Drosophila melanogaster: one gene and its partners. The protein of the gene in region 4 interacts with the protein of the main gene of each other region in a pairwise test. Each region holds a gene or a part of one and is shown on either strand. Other genes may lie near its edges.

Region 1 (4,286 bases), on a different chromosome or scaffold from region 4:
AAATAAATATATAAATTTAAATAAAGGCCGCCGCAATACCCGCACACTCACAGTTTGTTTGTCAATAAATCAGAATACTTATCAACGTCAAAGTACCGCAAAGAATGTGAGCAAACAATAAGAACTAAATGTGTGTGTGTTTCAGGAGGTCCATCAGTTTATTGGGAACTATTAAAGTTATTTATGAAAATAAATGGAATACCTACAACTTAAAAATAAAACCTTTCATTGAGCTACAAACATTTCTACACAGTGCCTAAATTATTCGACAAATGCGCCTCTATCTTGACTCCAGCAGGCATTGTGGGTGCCAATTTATGGGCAATCTGTGCTTATTTTCCCATTTCCCAGCCCAACATTGTTTTGGGCCTAGTCCCGAACTAAGTCCGCTAATTGCGCCGCCTTAGCCGGGCCATCTCGACCGGGTTTCGGGGAAGGCCCCGTCCATAATTATGCGAAATGTGCGCCATTTCTTCGGACTGTTGCCTGTTATTGTTTGCATTATTAGCTGACAATTTCGGTGGCACTGTGATGCCAAGTGGTGGGTCTGTGATTAGGCCGGCTCTTTGGGCTCTGGAAATTGTGGGATTAGCAGGCGCTTTGTCTGTGGCTAGAATCTTGGTCGGGCACCATCAGCCTGTCGCTCGATAAGCGCTCCAGGGCAACTCGAGTCCAAGAAGTTGATGTTTTTCTTGCATGATTACGACCATAAGCCAACGGCGTGTTATTGCAGGCCAAAGAAGTGGACGGTTTTCTTGGGAAACGCCCGAGTTCAAATCGATTGAACCAATGTTGCTCTTTAAATTGGTTTAATTTAGACATTTATTGTATCTCAACTTCCTGGAAGCAACTTGATTAAATTTCCTAATTTAAATAACCGGAACTATTGGACAGCAACTAATTCTGAAGAGCAAAGGCCATCTAAAATATCGCTTGATTTCTTAGCTATCACTAATGTGACTATCAATTCGAGGAAATGAAATTTTGTAGAATTAATAAAAGTCGTGTGTTATTAAGAAAATATTAAAACGTATTATATTTATTGTTTGAATACCAGAACGTTTCTTATTCCGAGCACATATTGTAGCGTTTGCCCCTCGCTTTTGGCATTTAAAATGGAGCAAATATTTTAGAATTCACCTGAATCGCATGCAAAAGCCTTTGTCAACATCAATGGTCCGCTGTGACCACGCTCTTTGTTGTAGTTTTTTGTGAATGCGCAATTGTTCAGTGTCGTCATGGCTGTGGCATGCACAAAGCGCCGATTGCAACGCCCATCCATCCACCCAGCAACCCCCCCCCCCCCCCACCTACTAAAGCTTTCAGGATATGCCATCCAACTACCAACTACCATACCGACCAAAACGCTTTTTTTTCGGCGCTGACATGTCCAGGCACTGGGGCAAAAACAAACCCATATATGTATATTCAATAGGCCGGGCGCTGCCAGAGTGTTTTCCGACGTTTTTCTGTAATTCGTTGTAGGTTTTTTCCAAGTTGGCTTTCGGCCGGTCCGAAAAAAGCGGCCTGCCTACATAAAGGCGCTAGCATATTAAAGGCTTAAACCCACTCAACGGCAGATGCCATATTGTTGAAATATATGCAGATACGTCGCGCATACGTCATGTGAAGATGGAATCCGGTTTGCAAAATGCATTCCATTCAAGCAGCGTTCTGTGATTTTTCATTGCAATCGGTTAAGCAATCGAATCCACCAGATTTATGTATTGTAAGCATATATTTCCATTCAAAGCTCAAAGCGATTTTCACCTTACCTGCACAACAAAAACACTACACTAGGGTGTGATCGTAGAGCTCGGTTTTTCAAATTTCGATCGAAGTGGGCCTGGATTATTGTGCAATGCTGTCGTCCTACTGTTATATCTCATTCAGTTTCCTGTTTCGCTCCGAATAACTTCCAAATTGAACAGTAAAAATTTGTAACAAAAATAAAGTATAATATTTTTCTAGAAATTTTATTTTGGAAAACTTAAGTCGAAAACATGTGCTCTCCGTGCGGTCCTTGTAGTCCATGCGATCCCTGCTGCGGTCCCTTCGAGTGCTCACCCAAGTGCTATAATGCCGCCCAATTGGAGGCCTTGCCACAATGTGCTCCACGTATTCCACCTCCCTTCCCCAAATGCATCACCGTGCAGCAACCACCACGCATGATCTGCAAGAAACGCGTGGTGTTCACGGAGAAGATTGTGCCGGAGCCAATGGTGGTTAACCGATGCAGACAGATTACCATTCCAAAGGTCGTTGATGCCACGCGGGTGATCAAGGTGCCCAAGCTGATTTGGGTGTCGCAGATGGTGCGAGAACCCAGAGTAATCTACTACCCCTCGATGATCCCCGATCCCTATGTGGTGTGCTATCCCAAGCGCGTCTGCGAACCCCGGGAGGTGTGTCAGTCGATCCTGTGCCAGCCGAAGCCACAGACCATCGACATTCCGCCGCCAAGGGAGTACTGCTGCTATCCAAATGGACCCATCAACTACAAGCCCAGTGCAGCGTGCCCACCCTGCCCCATTGGACCATGTGCTCCTGGAGGACCCTGCTGTCCGCTGCCCTGCTTCTCCACAAACCAGTATCCCGTTGCCGAGGGTAGGTGCGGACCCTGTGGACCTTGCGGTCCAGGATGCGGACCCTGCGGTCCGCGATGTGGTCCCTGCGGACCCGGCCCGTGCGGACCCTGTGGGCCGAGATGCGGTCCGGGTGGACCGTGCGCCGTGCCCAATTGCGGGCCCTGCGGCCTCACAATGCCGTCGGGTCCGTTTGTCCCGGCTCCGTGTGGACCCTGTGCTCCATGCGGGCCATGTGGACCGCTCGGCAATAGTCCTTGCGGTCCTTGCGGACCCTGCGGACCCTGTTCGCCCCCGTGTCCGTACGAGTCACCCGAGTGCGGCCCCTGCTACCCGTGCGCCCCAACTCCCTGGAATACCCACTGCGGCCCAGTTGGTCCTTGCGGTCCTCAAGTGCCTTGTGGACCCAGCGGCCCCTGTTAACATCATCGTTGTGCTGCCTGGATTGTTGTCAGAAACCGGTGCCCAGTGGACCAACTTGTCTATCACCAATACAGATTGCCATAGTGTATTCTCGCCGTTCTGCTCAAACACCACCAAAAAAGTCTACAGTTCTCTATACTTTGTCAACGCATGGACGACTCATTGGCTGTAAATAAAAATCGGATTTATGCATATATAAGGTTTTTTCAATTTCTTTTGACAGGTTATGCAATGGTTTCTATCCAGATAAAATTTTCTACCAAATTTTTGTCAAATAGTAGGCCTTGCCTCTGCTTGTCAATCTACCTATGTTCGTTACTCAGGCTTAGCTCGCATTTTGAATCCGGTTTCGCTTCGATACACTTCTAAATTTCTCTGATCAAATTTTATAAGAAACAAAAAACAAAAATTAACTTTTTACTCTTTCGGTTTATTCTAGTCGAAACTTAAAATGTGCTCTCCGTGCGGTCCTTGTAGTCCATGCGATCCCTGCTGCGGTCCCTTCGAGTGCTCACCCAAGTGCTACAATGCCGCCCAATTGGAGGCCTTGCCACAATGTGCTCCACGTATTCCACCACCCTTCCCCAAATGCATCACCGTGCAGCAACCACCACGCATGATCTGCAAGAAACGCGTTGTGTTCACGGAGAAGATTGTGCCGGAGCCAATGGTGGTTAACCGATGCAGGCAGATCACCATTCCAAAGGTCGTTGATGCCACGCGGGTGATCAAGGTGCCCAAGCTGATTTGGGTGTCGCAGATGGTGCGAGAACCCAGAGTAATCTACTACCCCTCGATGATCCCCGACCCCTATGTGGTGTGCTATCCCAAGCGCGTCTGCGAACCACGTGAGGTGTGTCAGTCGATCCTCTGCCAGCCGAAGCCCCAAACCATCGACATTCCGCCGCCGAGGGAGTACTGCTGCTATCCAAATGGACCCATCAACTACAAGCCCAGTGCAGCGTGCCCACCCTGCCCCATTGGACCATGTGCTCCTGGAGGACCCTGCTGTCCGCTGCCCTGCTTCTCCACAAACCAATACCCAGTGGCTGAGGGCAGATGCGGACCATGTGGACCCTGTGGACCCGGATGCGGACCTTGCGGACCCTGCGGACCTTGGGGACCAGGATGCGGTCCTTGCGGACCCTGTGGACCCTGCGGACCCTTCGGACCAGGCTGTGGTCCATGCGGACCGTGTGGACCCTGCGGACCTGGCCCTTGTGGCTTCGGTCCTTGCGGACCATGCTGATCTGTAAAACAGCTGGAAAGATCTACTTG
Region 2 (5,742 bases), on a different chromosome or scaffold from region 4:
GTGGTTTGGTTTTGGATGGATCGACTGTGGAAACCCGGTCGGTGCAAAAGCCTTTGGCTTGTTGGACGACTCAAGCGCCTTAATAGGCTTAGCAGCGAGTCAACTATCAAAACAAGACCGATAAAAGTTGAGCCCCAGCTCGGAGCTTCTGCTCCTCGTCGGTCCATCCTGATGTGCGAGGAGTATGTGTGTATGTCCCATGTGCGGAGCACACAATGTGTGTGCTGGGAAAAGGAAAAACTTTGCCTATATGATATGCCCCCATGCTCCAGATGACGAGGCCCGAATGCTTTGTCAACGCATGCCACATGGAATATTCATCGGTGGAAGCGGTCTGCTGGGGCCAAGGGGGCGTGCCACAGTTTATGGCACGTTTGTGCCGCAGCCAGCTCTCATTATGTGGCAGCCACCGCAAGTACGTGCCCCGGACAGCCCATAAGCGGGACATGCCTTCCGCCCTGCATTCCGTCTATGCGGAATCTCAGCCAGACCCCAGATCCATGACCATCACAACTTCTTGGGGCATTGTTCTTTAATTTTCCTTTGATTACCTTTTTTTTAAGCCCACATAAAGCCTTTTATTATTTTAATTTTTATAATCTGCATCGTCAATTTTTTAAATGCCTTAATATGCATTTAAAGTGCAGGAAATTTGGAAATGTGCTAACATTCCTAATTCCCTTTCCAAGATATCTTATCAAATAAACACGAATTTACCCGTGTTTTCTATTTTTTAATGACATCCCTCCAAAAAGCCTGCAATATTCTGCATCCAATCTGATTAGTCCGCGTTGCCATCTATAGATTTGCATTATTAACACTCCAATCCGGCGTAATTCGTTGATTAAACCACCGTGGGAGTTCTGGTACCCGGGTCTAGACCCACCCACCAAGGTCGGCAGGTGTGGCGCACACCCGCTTTTCGCATTTGGCTGCATCAGCAAACAGTCGCCCGCTCCATGAGAAAGTTTCAGCGAAGCTGCCACAGCGAAATGTTGCTGATGACAGCAGCAATATCAGTCTGCAGTGGCAACAGCTACATCAGCAGCAGCAGCAGCAACTGCCGCTCCCTGGATTTGTTTGCAGTCATTCGCATGTGTCATCATCAGCGGCCGAGATGATGAAGCACAAAATATGCCCAGGCGCGCTAGCAACTAAACTGACTGACTGCCAGTCTGGCTCAAAAATTAAAAAAAAAGAAATTAAAAATAAAATATAAAAAAATTGCACAAGCACACAAGGCAAACAGACAAATGAGGACGCCAGCGGTGACATGATAGCCTGTGAGCGTCTGCCGCCTGTCCTGGTACACTGAAACATATATACCTATAATGAAGTATATATATATATATATATTTTACTAAAAAGTGTATTCAATGGACAAGGTTCTTTACAGTTTTTCACTCAACTATTCTCTTAAGCTTTGCCACTCCATTCCATATATAAAGCTTTAAAGTATTGCTGTAAGGAACGCAATAATATTGTGCATAGAGCACACTCTTTTCTCCCAGTGCATCGCAGCGTTGGTCTCTGCTGGCTGCGCAGCTGCTGCCTTTTCCGTTGCTGCTGCACGCGTTGCACTGCCGCCGCTGCCACTGCCACTGCTGTTGCTGGTGCTGCTGCTTGTTCTCTGCTATATTTAAATACGCTGCGGGTTGCAACGTCGGCTGGCGTGGCACTTCATTTGCTTCCACAACTCATTCATGCTTTGGAGCCCAGACGGCCTGTCAGAGCCGTCTAAGCCGGGGTAAACACTCTCCGGGCCCCTCATCCTGCCCCTCATCCGCTGCCTCATCCTGCCAGCCGTCGAGCTCATGTGCCTCACCTACTTTCCGCTCTTAGGCTGAAGCCTCAGCTCCGCTTCGGGGTGGCTGCAGCGAGAATAAAAAGAGAATGCACGGCATGGCCCGCAAAAAGAAGAGTTAAATAAAAAGCTGGGTTGAAAAAAAAAAAAAAACCCTCCCTCCTGGGTATCGCTTACAACGGGGCACTTGCAACCAGCCAGACCCCCGATTACCCCCATCCGTCAACCTATCGTTAGCGTTAACGCTAGCGTTAATGTTCACGGCGCGGCCTTCCTCGAGGAGTTCAGTTCAGTTGCTCTGCTCTGCACTGCACTGCTCTGCTCTGCCCGATTCTCGATTCTCCGGCAACGGCACCGGCAGAGGCAACATAGCCAACAGAGGCAACTGAGGCAGTGGCAAGAACCCAGGCCCAGGAGGCCGTGTTTCTGCTGATGGTGCCACAGTACGCTCGCGTGCTTTGCATACTTTGGTTGCGTTTTTTTACTCCGCTCCCGGTTGCACGGTGCACGGTTGCAGTTCGCCTATTCGTTTTGGCCGTCTCACTGAGTACGCCTTGCAATCAGCCGGGCAGCAAACTGCCGCTTGTCGCGTAATTTGCCCGCCATTTTGCACCATTCCGCGTTTCCGGTTGGCGAACCTACTTCCGGTGACAGTTTTTGCGCGCGTTTTCGCCAGCCATTGTTCTGGCCAAAAAAAAATTGGTTAGAAGAAAAAACGCAGGCAACGGCGGGGAATTTCAAATCCGATGTCGTAAATCAAACGAACGGCAATTGTGCGTGTGTGATCGGCAGGCTCTACACTGAGAGAAAGCTAAATAAAACACCCCTTTCGGTATGTTTTCACATCCATAAAAATCATTAAAGATAATGACAAAATATTAGTGCTTGTTCAGTAACAGCAAGTAACAGCATTTTCTTAATCTTGTTTGTTGTTTGATGTTACGTTTCCTTTTAATGGTCTAAGTCCGTGTTTTTTGCGCTAGCTCAATATAAATATATAATACAAAAAATATTACAGTAACTTTATATTATTTATAAAATATTCTAATAAACTTACTGCTTACTTAAAAAGACTTAATCAAGAACAAAAATTTGATTTCTTACATTGAATGAGATCTGATAGATTAATGCAACTCAAGATGCATTGAGTACCTATTGGCCAATACAATTCGATTAGTTTTCTTCCGTGTAGAACTTATCCAGTGGTCGAGTCCCCAACAAGTGGGTGGCATTGGGATTATGTCTTTGCGGGCACGGAGCAGTTGGCCAATCCCCGGCAAATGAAGTGCGGCAGCATTTGATTATATATAGCGACTTCCGAACCGCTTAACTTGGCTGTGAGTGTGCGCGAGTGTTTGCATGTCTTGAGAGCCGCGAACAGGACACAGCCGATCCACCTACTGATTACGGCTCACAATGTAAGTAAATTGCGGAATTACGGGGTCTCGATTCGTTGATTACTCAATCAGCAGTCAATGGGTTTAACTGCCGGATTTCCGGAGCGTTGTGGGGAAGTACGACTGGGGTTCGTACTAATCCACGGCTTCATATCAGATTGATAACTATTATTCAGTTGATTGCCTAAATAGGTTATTAGTTTGAAATAGTGCGCGCCAATTAAGGTGCTAGTGCTAAAATAGTAATATGTAAATATTCAAATTTTAACATCAGAAAGATACCGAAAGCCTTTACCAACCAAAGAACTACAAATTTCGCTTCGCTTCATTGAAATTTGCTATAATCTGAGACATTTTTGATACTTAAAACATTGCAAGTAGCACAGTTTATGGATGCATTTGGAAAACTTGTCTGCAGCTTCTTGCAGCCTTCCCAGACGAGTTCACTATTTGAAAGGATTTTAGTTTCGTGCTCATTTTTTAACCATCGAGAAACTGGAAGCTGAATGAAGCTTCAGCTGACTGGAGGCTGTCTTCTTCCATTCAGCCCGTCTAAAACCATTCCTTTTTGGGCCATTCCCACCACAATGAAACCGCAGCGAAGCCGAAAAGAATAAATATGAAAAATATGAGAATGCAGCTCGAGTTGGGCATTCATGCATCTCCGTCTATTCACACTCATTCAGCGCGGGATGAGCTGGCCTTAAATTTGCATAACAAGCGACAAAAGTCCCCCGAATCGTAATTATGTGCAAACAAACGGGGCAAATGAAATTTCAATTAAAAAACGAGTGCGAGAGCTGGGGACCAAACCAAAAAAATAAAAAGGAAAAAAGTGAAATCGAAGCTGAAGCCTATGGGTGGGGATGCCCCCTTTGTAAGGCTTCCCGGCCACCGCAATACGCACTGTTGGCTGGGAAAGGGAGCAGCCAGTCGAGTTGAAATGAGATGAGTTGAGGCGAGTTGAGTTGCGACTCGAAGTGAATGCCGAGTGCCAAGTGCAGCGCCAGGTGCACTGACATTGGCACACGAACGAGGCTGCAACCCGACCCCCCCCCCCTCCCATTACCCCTTTCATTTTTTCTGCAATTCGTGACCCACCACCCCCTTCACCATTGTGAACACCCCTTCGAGTGACTGGCAGTGCAATTTTGTTGCCAACCTTGAGGACGTCGCTCTGCCTGCTGCTGCACGCCTGATATTCCGGATTCAAGGCTGCAAGCAGGGGCGTCCGAGCAGGGGTATCCCGGCTCATTTTCGCTGTTTTCCCATCGAATTCAGCCATTCAGTGGATTGATTTCCCCTGCACAATGGGTGCACGTTCAACTAGGGAATATATTTGCATCCAGGATATCTAAAACTTTTGTTTGCCACTCGTGAATTTAAGATTTGAGTTTTTTAGTATAGCTAAATATTAAAAAACTTATCTTTAATAATTATGTACTGATATCTTAAATTCATTAGCATTACGAGTGAACTAAACCGTCGGATTGCAGTGAAATCATACTTTGCCTGCTCCGGAATTTAGTTGTTTTTATTTTCCGTATATTTTCTATTTTTTTTTTTTTTTGAGCCAACAATGTCAACATGGCAGTCAGCAGTCAGAGGAGCTGCAGCTCGCTTTTTCCACTTCCTGCCCTCGTCGTGGAAATAATCAGTGTGCGCCTTTTTGTGTGCATTGTTGTGCTTTGGGGTGTTAAGGGTTGGAATGGGTTAAGGGGGTGGCAGGTTGCAGCGCTCAGTTGCCATTGCAGTTAATTGAAAATACTAAATTTCCACTGTCTAGACGGCAAATTATATGACAATTGTTAGAGCGCGCATGTTTGGCTTTCATATTAAAATTAATTACTCTGGCTGAAATTTTGCATAAAAATTTATGTGAAAGCCATAAACAATGGGGCCATTGTCGAGCCGGCTTATGTTTATCTGCGAATGTGAGTGCTGCTTCTGTTTCTGTTTAATTTCAGCACTTTCGCACAGTGGGCTGTAAGTGGCACAGGAGTTGGACTTAATCCCCTTTGGAAAGTTTCGTAATTAGAAAGCTAAGGCGATAATCAATGGTGGTAATCGGGGAAAGCGCGATGCATTTGCGAATTTTCACACGCTTCAGGGCTTACGAATTTCTCATAATTATAGCAGAGGATATATACTCTTGAGGGCGAAGGTGAAGGAGTCCAGGAAATTGCAAATTACAAACGGAAAACGTGGGCTGGCCGAACACCTTTGATCACAAATTCAGCTCACTGCACACAAACAATTATTTGGCACTTAATAAACAATGAAATTGAAAATTTAAGACGCTTATCGTAGTCAGTTTGCGGCATATGCAAATTTAGTCCAGCTTTCATGTAATTACACTCGACCCGTAGCATCTTATATATGACATTTTCCATGCGAAATATATGGTATGGTATAGTATGGAATGGAAGTATGTATATGGCCCATGTACGGAGTGCCACTGACATTCATTAACCGAGAATTGCAACCTTTTTGGGTTTTGAGCCGGAACGGGGTTTGCTCGGCTAGCTCGTAAATAAACTT
Region 3 (5,296 bases), on a different chromosome or scaffold from region 4:
TATAGAAGATGTTACCCTAACCTTGAACAATAAAATATGAATTGGTATAAATAATGCTAGAGAAATACTATGATTTTTTGGACTGATTTTTGAACTACATTGGCGGAAATGTTCATTAGCGAAACGAAGTTGGCGTGATAAAATTCTTCTGGCAACCCTTTTGATATCAAAACTGCGCCACACAACGATTCATATTTGGCAATCTGTTTTCGTGACACTTGCAGTGCCCAAAAAATTATCAGTTTTAATTAAAATTGTACCCCAGTGGAGGGTTCGGAGAATTTCAAACCGATTCCAGATAGTCCAGATAATGAATTCGCTACTCGGAGCTGCCGCGATCGCTTATTTCCGTGTTGGCCATCAGGCGAGCAAGAAGTATCCAACGCCCAAGGGTCGTTTTTGTCTATCACTAATTAAATTCAACTATTAGGGTCGATGTTACCCATTAGGTCCACAAATATTGTATGAGTGTGAAATGCAAATGAAATGCATCGACGCGCTTTCGTTCTCCATAGAAATCAATTATGTCCACTTTAAGAAGGAAGTTATACAAGTCCACAGGGCGGATGATTGATTTGTATGTAGGAAAGGTCAAGTATTCAAATGACAAACGGGGCAACTTTGCAGCCTCGCTATAATGTATTAGTATTTATTGATCATAACAAATAACGATAACAAATTCCGAAAAACTCAATAATATAAGTTATCTTGTTATGACACCTCATAGACATATGTACATGTACATATATGGTGCCTAATGAATAAAGTGGTTTGAATAATCAACTTTGTAGTACGATAACTTCGTACTTTTCCATTCAAATCTCCTATTGCAGTTGTTAAAAACGGTGATATCACCCATGTATGGGCCATGAATGGGATCCAATGGCTACCTCCCTGGTACTTTCCCATCGCCAAATTTCCAAGTGGTGTTCTTGAGTATGACATCACGGTTTCACGTTACCGAGTGTCTTGCTCGGCAATCGATTCAAGGAAATCTTGGCCCAGAGGTGATCTGGTAACTTAATCGTTATTGCGCCTGATTACACCACTTATATTTATTGTATCGGCGTCGAAAAAACAAACTGTCTAATTAAAACTGATTGCGTACGTCGCTCACGAGACCAAAATATTGCTGATAGTGCCATTCATCAGCCGACGTTTTCTGGCAGGCGGGATAAGATTATATTATGGCTCGGATGGTTCACAAATGAGTCAACTTTTAATCGTACAACTAAGCTTTTCGAAATAATCTTTTTATACCTAAATACATTTGAAAATTCAGATGTTTGTATTGTGATCAATTCCACGAAATCTAAACAAAGAGCTGATCTATAATTTGTATGGGACTTGGGCCTGATAACAGCACTACTTATACTTATGAGGAGCTGCTCACGACACCGGGACCGCAATGGTGGTGCTAGTGATGGTGCTGCTGGTGGTGGTGGTGGTGCCACTTGGAACTTGGGACCCGGTGGTTGCCTCCGATATCTGACAGGCGGTATATGATATGACCTGGGTGGTGCACCGTTGGGTTATTTCGTCGAAGTACTCGTCCTGCGGACAAGTTCCTTGGCCAATGACGATGCCATCCTGGCAGATCGAGTAGCCCCTGCAGCCATCATCCGACTCGTTGGCCAGCTGAATGGTGGAATTGCCCAAGCCCACGCATCGATCGTAGCCGCATTTCACCTTGGATCGCGGGACACAGGCTCCGCCATCGGTGGCCAGGAAAAATCTTCCATCGGAGCAGACGCCATGCTCCAGCGAGAACTCTCCATTGCCCAAATCCTTGCAGTAGTAGTAGCCATTGCAGGTCTTGTTATCCGATATAAATCCACCCGTCTCTGGACATACACCCTTCTTGCTAATATCTGGCACTGGGACGAAGTCACACTCCACATTCTGCGGATAATCGCACTGGGCCGTGGAGGCCTTGAAGTAGAAGGTGCCCGGACAGGTTCCATTGATCACCTGGCCATCCCAGCACAACTGATAGCCATTGCAGTTGTCCGTGTCCTTGACGAAGACCCCATCCGGCAAGATGTTGCAATAGCTATCCGGGTCCATTTTATTCGAGCACGGAAAATCGCGGATGCAGTCCTGCGTTCCCGAATTGAAATTCATCCCAGTGTTGCACACTCCGTGCGTCCCCTTGCCATCCTTGCAATAGTAATAACCATTGCAGGAGTACGGATCAGCCGCGAATCCGGTGGGCAGAGCAGCGCACGGATCACTGGACAGACACTTGATACTACTGGAACTCAGGCATTTCTGGCTCTCCCGGTCGTAGAAGAGTCCAGTCGCACAGCTACCACTCACAGGGCTCCCATCGATGCACTGAATCCACGCGTTGCACGCCCGAGGATCGTTCATCTTGGTTCCGTTGACCACCAAGCTACATATTAGAGTTGCATTGAAGGTCAGGGCGCCTGATATCGTGGGGATCATGATGAGTCCGGAAATGAAGGCGAGCTTTGTGTCTGTTTTGCATAAAAGGGTATAAGTACGATATTCGAAATAAGTTGCAAGTGAAGTATGCTTTCAATTTCGATTTAAATTGCATATTTTTTTTTCAATAAATGTTTGAGTTTTCGTTATGAACTTCTTGAGCCTAAGTCTACGGTTTTCTATATTTATATCTGTCTATGAAATGGTAATTCTTCTCGAAACAACAATATAGTTACTTCGATGGATATCTGCTAGTGCCAGAGATACTCACCCATCTCGAGTTCAGCAAACTTTTAGTATTCCAAAGATACAAGTACCTCTTAACGGCTAACGAGGAAAAGAACGTCTAACTGGATGCCATCCAAGTTCGCCAATAAATACAAATCGAAAGACAATGCTTATGCCCTCGCTACTTTTGGGTTTTCCGAAAGGTCTGTAAATTTTGGAAGCTCTAAGTTAGTCTAGAACTGTCTTCAGTGGCTAAAATGGACGCATGACGTATTCATATTTCACTTTTATCAGATTCGGTTAAATCCAAATTTGACAAGTGATAAACTTGGCCAACGCCGGTGCGCAGTTCATTTAAAACCCAATTTGTTTTTATTTTTGTCAACTTGTGCGGTCATACCTTTGGTTTTTTGGTAGTATTCGTTGTCGAATTCGTATCCGCTTGTTTATAATTACTATCTTTAGATTGGGTCTAATTTAATTTATTACACATATAGTAATTAACTTTATTTCAAAATCAAATGTTATTATGTTTATCGCCTGCGATCTGCTGACTCAGGTGCACACGACATTATGCTATTAATAGTCCACGATGACCGATTCTTACTGACATACATACTTATTGAGATTACTGTTTAAAATTATACATTATTGTGAAATTATTTACGATTAAACTAACTTTATGAAATAATCTGCCGATCGTCGGTTTTAATTGTACCTGATAGTCGTAGAGTAAATGAGTGTACAGAGTGTTCGTTGAAAGGAAAGATACTATTGTATAAGAATATAGAAGATTGATGTGAAAATTACTTGGTGTATAGGTATGCTACAACAAGTAAACCACATATAAAAAATCTAGTGTCCTTGAACTCCCTTCAAATGAGTACTGAGTATCTTAAAGTCGAGGAACTACACTAGCTTACTTGTTTTTTTAAAGTCAATTGGGCTTTACCACATAAGTCCAACTTTTCTGTTCCGATAGTAACAAATATGTCTAGGAATCGCCACAATTAGTCAATATTATTAAAAACAAAGTGTGTGGGTTTTGCCATATAATATGTAGGTAATTTTAAGCTAATTTAGATTACTCTAATCTCATTTCGTTTAATTGATTTGTTTGAAAAAAAAAATAGAAAGGACCATATTTGGAGAACTTCTTGATATGGTACTACTTGAATTATATAATTCGGTAAAAAACTCATTCAAATTTAATCAAGTATATACATTTGGTTAAACAATTATAACAATTATAAAGTCGTTAGCTTTAAAATGCGAACTCTGTTATAAGTTTAGAGCACGATGTAATTCTTTATTGCTCTTTTATTTACACATTAACTTTTTAATATTCCAATTATAGAAACGCAGTCTAAAAAATACATTTGAGTTAATAAAAAGAACCCAAATTTCTATCCGTCTGAGTTCTGGGAAAGTTCTTATCCCCACAAAAACTTTGTTGACTTGTCAAAATGGCCATCGATCATGCAAAAATGGTTCGTTGGCTTCGCTTGCGATACATCACAAAATGGGTTCCTGAGCTGAAGGGTCGTCGATCAACTTGGACAGCCCAGCGGATCGAAGATAACTCCTGGCTGGACTGCAAATAAAAGCCCAGGAAGTCCATCAACCAGAAACAGTATTCAACTAGGAGCCACCAAAAGAAGAAGCAAATAATGGGTGGGTATCGCATATAAAAGTTCGAAACAGGAAAAATTGGAACATCATATGAATATATTCAACGCTTCCAGGTGGACAAAAAGCAACCATCCTCGCTGCCGTGGCGCTGGTGATCGCCTGTGCCGCTCCAGCAATAGCCGATGTGAATGTCACCGCCTTGTGCCTGCTGGTCAGCAATGGGAACTACGTGGCCAGCCAGTCGGACTGCTCGACCTACTACCAGTGCCAGGGATCCTCGTTCACGGCCATGTCCTGTCCCCAGGGCTACTACTTCGACAAGAATGCCCAGCAGTGCACGGGCACTGTGCCGAGCACCTGCACCAGCAACTCCGATCCCTGTCTGGGCAAGGCGGTGGGATCCTTCGCGGCATCCAGTTCGTCCTGCGGCGGCTACTACTACTGCGGAGCCTCCGGCGCTGTGAGGGGCAATTGTCCTGCCGGCGAGAACTTCAATCCCACCACAATGGCCTGTGTGTACAAGAACAACTATCCATGCAGCGAGTCCGCCGGTGATGGCTCCACTGTGTCGGTCGCCCTCAACCTATGCAATCTTGTCAAGAATGGCTTTTACTTTGGAAGCCCTTCCGACTGCAGTGGCTGGAACTTCTGCCAGGACAACGTTCTGCACTCGGGATCCTGCGAAGATGGTCTAGTATTCAATGTGCAGGCCAGCAACTGCGGCTACAAGATGGCCTCATCCTGCGCCCAGGTCACCAATGATCCATCCCTGACCGGAGTGTCTGCTCCGACCACATGCTCCTCGTCGGGAGCAACGATCGCAGCCACCGCGTGCAACCAGTACTACCTGTGCTCCGCCGGCAACTATCAGCTGATGACCTGCCCCTCGGGATACTACTATGATACCATCTCGAAGGCGTGTGTGACCAGGATGGAAGCGAGGAACGACTGCGACAGATGTGTGGGCACCACTGCGACCTTTGTAAAC
Region 4 (5,616 bases):
ATGGTGCTGCTGCTGTTGTTGCTGCTGCTGCTGGTTGTTGCTGTTGTTGTTGGAAGCGTGCTGTGGTGAAGCGTTTGTCGTGGATTGCACTTGTTGCTGCATGTAGCCATAGCCGTTGGCGGTGCCATTAGCATAGCCGTTGGCCTGCTGCTGATGGTGGTTGAGGTGGTGCTGCTGCTGCTGTGTGGGCGAGGGTGAGGCCGAGTACTGGGACATGGCAGCGCCGCCCATCGCTCCCACGCCCAAGCCGCCTCCTCCGCCATAATCGGGCGGACTTCTAGGCGGCTCCGGGGGTGGCACATTGGCCGGCGGCGGCGGTATCGGCGGCTGTTGCTGCTGACCCTGACCGCTGGCCGAGGCGGCAGCTGCAGCGGCGGCCGCAGCGGCTGCGGCATTGCCCCTGCGACTGGGCTTCGTCACCGGGTCGCGGGCGGGATGGTGGTGCGCCGAGATGGGCAGGGTGGCTGGATCCGGCTGGCCGCTCGACTTAACCGCATTCTTGTGCAGCGTCGTATTGTAGTGGCGCTTAAGATGGCCCGAGCTGGTGAACCACTTGTTGCAGGCCGTGCAGTTGTACGTTTTCGGACGGCGCGCCTCGTTCGACTTCCAGGTGGCCGCCTTGGCCGTCAGGCTGTTGGCCGGCAGCACGGAGCTCGAGCTGGGTGGCTCGAAACCGCGGTATCCACCTCCTGGCGCCGCACCCGCCGCTCCCTCCTGCCCTGGTCCGCCCGTAGTGGTGCTGGGGAACTCCGCCGGACTGGTGGCCACGCTGGCGCACAGTTCCGCGCCACCAGCTCCGCCAGCTGTGGGATCGAAGGACTTGTCCACGTAATGCTGCGAATCGGGATACTCGGACTTGATCAGTCCGTGGCCGCCGTACTCCTGCTTGATCAGCGTGGCTCCGCCAACGCCGGTTGACTGATGATAGGGTGACTGCTTTGGTGAGTAGTAGGGCGACTTGTCCACACCGACTCCCAGCCCCACGCCCAATCCCTGCTGCATGTAGGGTGGCAGGCCCTCCACGGAGGCCACCGTCTGCTGTGGCTGCTGCTCCCAGCTGTGGAGTGCGCGCTGCTGCATAGATTGCATCGAGTGCAGCGGATCCGGCAGAGCGCCCAGCGGCAGTCCAGCGACCACGTCGTGTTGCTGTTGTTGCTGCTGGAGCAGCTGCTGGTGATAGACCATCTTCTGGGAATCTAGGTCGAGTAATTCGCCGGGATTGGCCGTTGCGGATCCAACGCCGGGTGGCTGTGGTGTGGGCATCTCCTCCTTGATGTACGGTGAACTGGCGTAACCGCTGCTGCCGTACGGCGACTCTCCGTGCACGTTGGCGATGTGCTCCTGTAGCTCCGACTCGTTGGTGGTGAGGATGCCGCACTTCTTGCACTGCAACTTGCATCCGGCACTTCCGGCGGCTCCGCCTGGTGAGCCTGGTGTCTGGCCACTGGAGCTGCCCAGCTGCAGGTGCGAGGACGTCGACGTTGGACTGCTGCTGCTAACCACACGCGGACTCATGGCCACCGCTGTGGTGGTGCTGACCGCGCTGGGCGCACTGCCCGCCTCCTCCTGTGCCGAGCTGGCCGTTGGAATGCCTCCCAGTCCGGAGGTTGGCGTCTGCAGGTAGGGATGATAGCGAACACCGGCGCTCTTGCCATAGTCAACGCCCACGGTGCCAAAGGCGTAATCAGTGCCCTGCTGCTGCTGCTGTTGCTGCTGGTAGAACTGCTCGTAGCTGTTGATGTAGCTGCTGGCGTAACCCTGCTGCTGCTGCATGTCCCCGCCGTAGAGTCCGCCGTAGATCTGCTGCTGTTGTTGCTGCTGTCCGCCAGATGCGGAGTACATGTGGTGGGTGGCGTACGGCTGGTGGGTGATACCCGTTACCTGCTGCTGCTGTTGCTGCTGCTGGGGATCTCCTCCACCCATGGCCTGCTGCTGCTGCTGTTGCGATTGTGGCTGCTGCAACTGTTGCTGCGTCGATTGCTGCTGTTGCGTGGGCTGCGGCGTGCCGGGTTGATTATCACTGGAGTCGGCGGCGGCGCTAATTGTGGCATTGGGTGTGGCGGGCGCACTGCCTACGCCTCCCGTTCCTCCCGCTCCTGGTCCGCCCGATCCTCCTCCACCTCCTCCTCCTCCTCCTCCTGCTCCTCCCCCACCACTGTCTGTAGCACTGCTGGAGGCGAGCGCCTCTGCCGCGTGCAGGGGCGGCATCTCGGTCTTAATGCTCGTCATGGACCGCTACATAAGTCGATGCTTGGTGGCTGCTCGGTGTTTCGCTTCTCATGTCTCGAGCTCTCCGGGATCAGTGGTGCATCCTCTGCTCCTGCTGCTACGCTGCTTGCTTTTCGTTGGCTCTGCTGAGCCGATCGTTTTTGTTTTGGGTTTTTATGTTATATGCTCTCGTTTCGTTTTATTTTTTTGTGATTTTTTGTTTTTTTGTGCTTTGTATTTGTACTGAAAATAAGCCAATTATTGTTTAAGCCATTATTAGTTTGAAGTTACTTGAGTTGCAAACGGAAAAAAAACAAACACATGCACACTGTGTTTTCAAAGCTTTTGGTGTCTAACGGTTCTTGGTGTCCATTTCACTTCGATGCGAAATTGCAGGCACTTTTGTAATTTGATTTGTATGGTGGAAATACAATAGCTTTTACTTGCGAACGTAATGTCAACTGCAATTGTTTGTGGAGAGCACACATGGACGCTCACGACGCACACTAACACACACACTCGAAAAAAATATATACATGAAGGATCCTCGATGAAGATCCCTTTTCCGTTCTCTTTTGCTTTTCTTACTTATCTGCGCCTCGCTTTGGGCACTTCTTCGTTGGACTTGGACTTCTGCTTCGCTCCTTCTTCTTCTGCTCCGCTCCTCCTCCTTCTTCTCTTTCACCGCTCCTCTTCGGCGAAACGAAAGACACACAACAGCAGACTCGATAAATAATACGAAACTGAACTGAACTGAACTGAAGAAACCAATATCGGAACCGCAACGAATGCTGGTCAATTTTGAATTTCGAATTTTGTTTTTGCGAATTGCGAGGGAAGCGAGAATGGCGATGCGATGTGATCACACTCTCCCTATCTCTCTCTCTCTCTCTTTCTTGCTCTCTCTCGCCACTTTTTTTTTTACCGGTGATTTAGAGTTTTTCGGTTTGGGTTCGCTTTTCGCTTCGCCCTTTTCCAAAAGATCACTGGAATTCGCGTTTATCGTTTATCGGGGATCGGATCGAACAGAAAAAAATTGTTTACGAACACAAGTATTGCATCGGAATTAAATTTGTTGTTGATTCCCGAGCCGCGATTAGTTCGTTTAGTTTGTTTTTCAATTGGTTTGCCGAAAAGTTGTTGCCAAAAATGTTGCGTTTTGTGAGTGGGGAAAATGAAACAAAAAAGGGCGCTAAAAGTAGCCGCTCCACTCCGTTCGCACGCTTCGTCGCTTTTTCACCCGTGTCCTTCTGTCTGCTACGGCGTTCCAAATACAAATGACCGACAAATACACCGCCGTGCATGCGGCACATTCGTTCTACCCGTTCTGCCGGCAGCGACGCCGGCTGCGACTGTGGCTGCGGCGTCGCAGTCGACGCACATGCGTGGCTGTGTGTGTGTGTGCGCTATATACACTGCGCGGCGGCGTTTCGGTTATGTGCGTGCTGTCTCTGTCGCGCACGGCTGCCGTCAACGCCGCTGCATTTGATTTTGCTTTGCTTTTGGTTTTGCCTTTGCTTTGCGCTGCCTTTACTTTGCAATACCCTTTGCATTGAGAGTACCACAAGTTAGCTCGGAATCAAGATAAAGTATCCCATGCATAATTAGCATTAGTTGAGACCTAAGTTTTGCAATCTGTTTAGATCGAACTAATAAATCCTCTCGAAGACATGTACATAAACGATTAGTCGCAATTTGAATGCTTATATTTTTATGCCTTGAATGGCATTATTAGTGAAAACTGATGTTTAATATACATATATACATATGTTTTATAATGCACACATATATACATACGTTTTATAATGCACACAAATTTGAATCCTTTTTTGCAAGCCATCACAATTTTCCACAGAAAATTGCTGAACGGTTATAAAAAAGTAATTTAAGTAAGGTCATTGATAACCGGTTTTGCACTTAACAATCCGTAGAATTTGGATGGATCGCAATTGTAAAGTGTATTTGTAATAATACACAACTTCTGCATTGCCTTTCTAGCAGCAAATCAATAGCTTTGATCGTGTTAAAATGATTTTCCACTGTTTATTTATGAAATTATTTCGCTGTATTTGCGTTTCTGGATATATACAGCGAACTGCATATATTTAAGCCGCCCTAGGCACTAAAAATTTTATATGAAATTGTTTTCTTTAGGATGGTTGGATTTCGAAATGTTTATTCCGATCTCTAGCTTAAAACTCTGGCAGTTCGTAGAAGTCATCTACGCTATGAAGAACTTACCATATAAATAAATGTTTATGTACTCTATTGTAATAGCAAAATTTAGCTTAAGTGGCGATAATGTGGATTTTTCAAGAACACAGCGAAGATTGGTTGGCCCTTTTGTGTGATCCACCGATTACCATATCGCAACTCGCCTAATTTAAAGCTGTGTTGCAGTTCTAGGCTTGGTTGCTCAGTTGTGCCCGTTTTTTTTTTTTTAGCCTTGGTACGAACGGCGGCTTATTAATAGACTCCTCGAAGCGTCTTAGTCAGATGTTGACTCACTGGACCGGGCCAAAACCAATTCGCACTACTAGCCTAGTTTCTGAGCGACCGGCAACCGACGATTATCGACGTCACGGGCCTCGTAAAAGTTGAGAACGTTCAAAAAATTAATAAACCAAACTTTTATTGCGTTGGGCATACGGGAGTGCAGAGCTGAGAGACAACGAAAGCTAATCTACATTTAAAAAGAAAGGAAAAAATCGTAAGCTAGGACTAACGGATACCCTGTTATCAGATTCTGTCATAAGATCATAAGCTCACTAGAGAAACTTTTTTAAATAGAAGACTAGAAGAAGACTAAGCATGTAAGTAAGTATGCATAAGTATGTATGTACATATATATTCCAAAGATGCAGGCGATCTTTCGTCTTTCGAATGGGTATGCTTTTTCCAATCTACGATTAAGGGGTATAAATAGCGACAGAAAGGGTTTGAATCTGTTGGTAACTATGGGGTTTCAAGTTGTTTTAGGTTTTATTTTTTTTTTTTTTTTTTGCTGGGCAACTGGAGCTGGGAATCAAGCTCAGCTGAGAATGGCCCAAAAGTATTTAAAAATTTCGTAAGAGAAAAGGCGAGGGCTAATGGAGCCCAGATACGAGTACCTCCATCGCAGCCACACAGATACGAACTCCACTGTGCGGCTGTGTGCGTGGGGCCTTGAGGAAGAGTTTAGATTGGAGTAGGGCCGGAGGAGGGAGCGAGAGAAGGCGAGAGTGAGGCGGCGGAGAAGAGTGCGACAGAGAGGCCTGAAATTTACATACATGATTGTCATAAAAAATCAGCAAGCAAATTGTCAAATCCCTAAACTGACAATAAAACAATAAAGCAAACGACGAAGACGAAGACGCGGGCGAGACGGACGACGAATGTGGGTGGAAGTGTGGAGAAGAAGGCGAAGAA

What was found.
Region 1: the proteins of zld (region 4) and Mst98Ca interact in a two-hybrid assay, tested with the Drosophila melanogaster proteins (one large-scale study listed by BioGRID).
Region 2: the proteins of zld (region 4) and CG34377 interact in a two-hybrid assay, tested with the Drosophila melanogaster proteins (one large-scale study listed by BioGRID).
Region 3: the proteins of zld (region 4) and CG6996 interact in a two-hybrid assay, tested with the Drosophila melanogaster proteins (one large-scale study listed by BioGRID).

Annotation. Positions count from the first base shown.
Region 1 is NT_033777.3:28,289,456-28,293,741, forward strand, and holds Mst98Ca (Male-specific RNA 98Ca), read left to right. Parts: upstream 1-1,882; 5' UTR 1,883-2,003; coding exon 2,004-3,008; 3' UTR 3,009-3,201; downstream 3,202-4,286. Other genes in the region: Mst98Cb (Male-specific RNA 98Cb), read left to right, coding at 3,460-4,257.
Region 2 is NT_033777.3:22,320,619-22,326,360, reverse strand, and holds the start of CG34377 (uncharacterized protein), read left to right. Parts: upstream 1-2,266; 5' UTR 2,267-2,636; intron 2,637-2,981; exon of another isoform or gene 2,982-2,996; 5' UTR 2,997-3,222; intron 3,223-5,742.
Region 3 is NT_037436.4:20,205,052-20,210,347, reverse strand, and holds CG6996 (uncharacterized protein), read right to left. Parts: upstream 2,815-5,296; 5' UTR 2,724-2,814; coding exon 2,720-2,723; intron 2,483-2,719; exon of another isoform or gene 2,481-2,482; coding exon 1,390-2,480; 3' UTR 748-1,389; downstream 1-747. Other genes in the region: CG7290 (uncharacterized protein), read left to right, coding at 4,347-4,350, 4,422-5,296.
Region 4 is NC_004354.4:19,780,058-19,785,673, forward strand, and holds the start of zld (zelda), read right to left. Parts: upstream 3,492-5,616; 5' UTR 2,797-3,491; exon of another isoform or gene 2,452-2,796; 5' UTR 2,230-2,451; coding exon 1-2,229. UniProt on the Drosophila melanogaster protein: Transcription factor required for zygotic genome activation (ZGA), a critical event in early embryonic development during which the developmental control passes from maternally provided mRNAs to the expression of the zygotic genome after fertilization.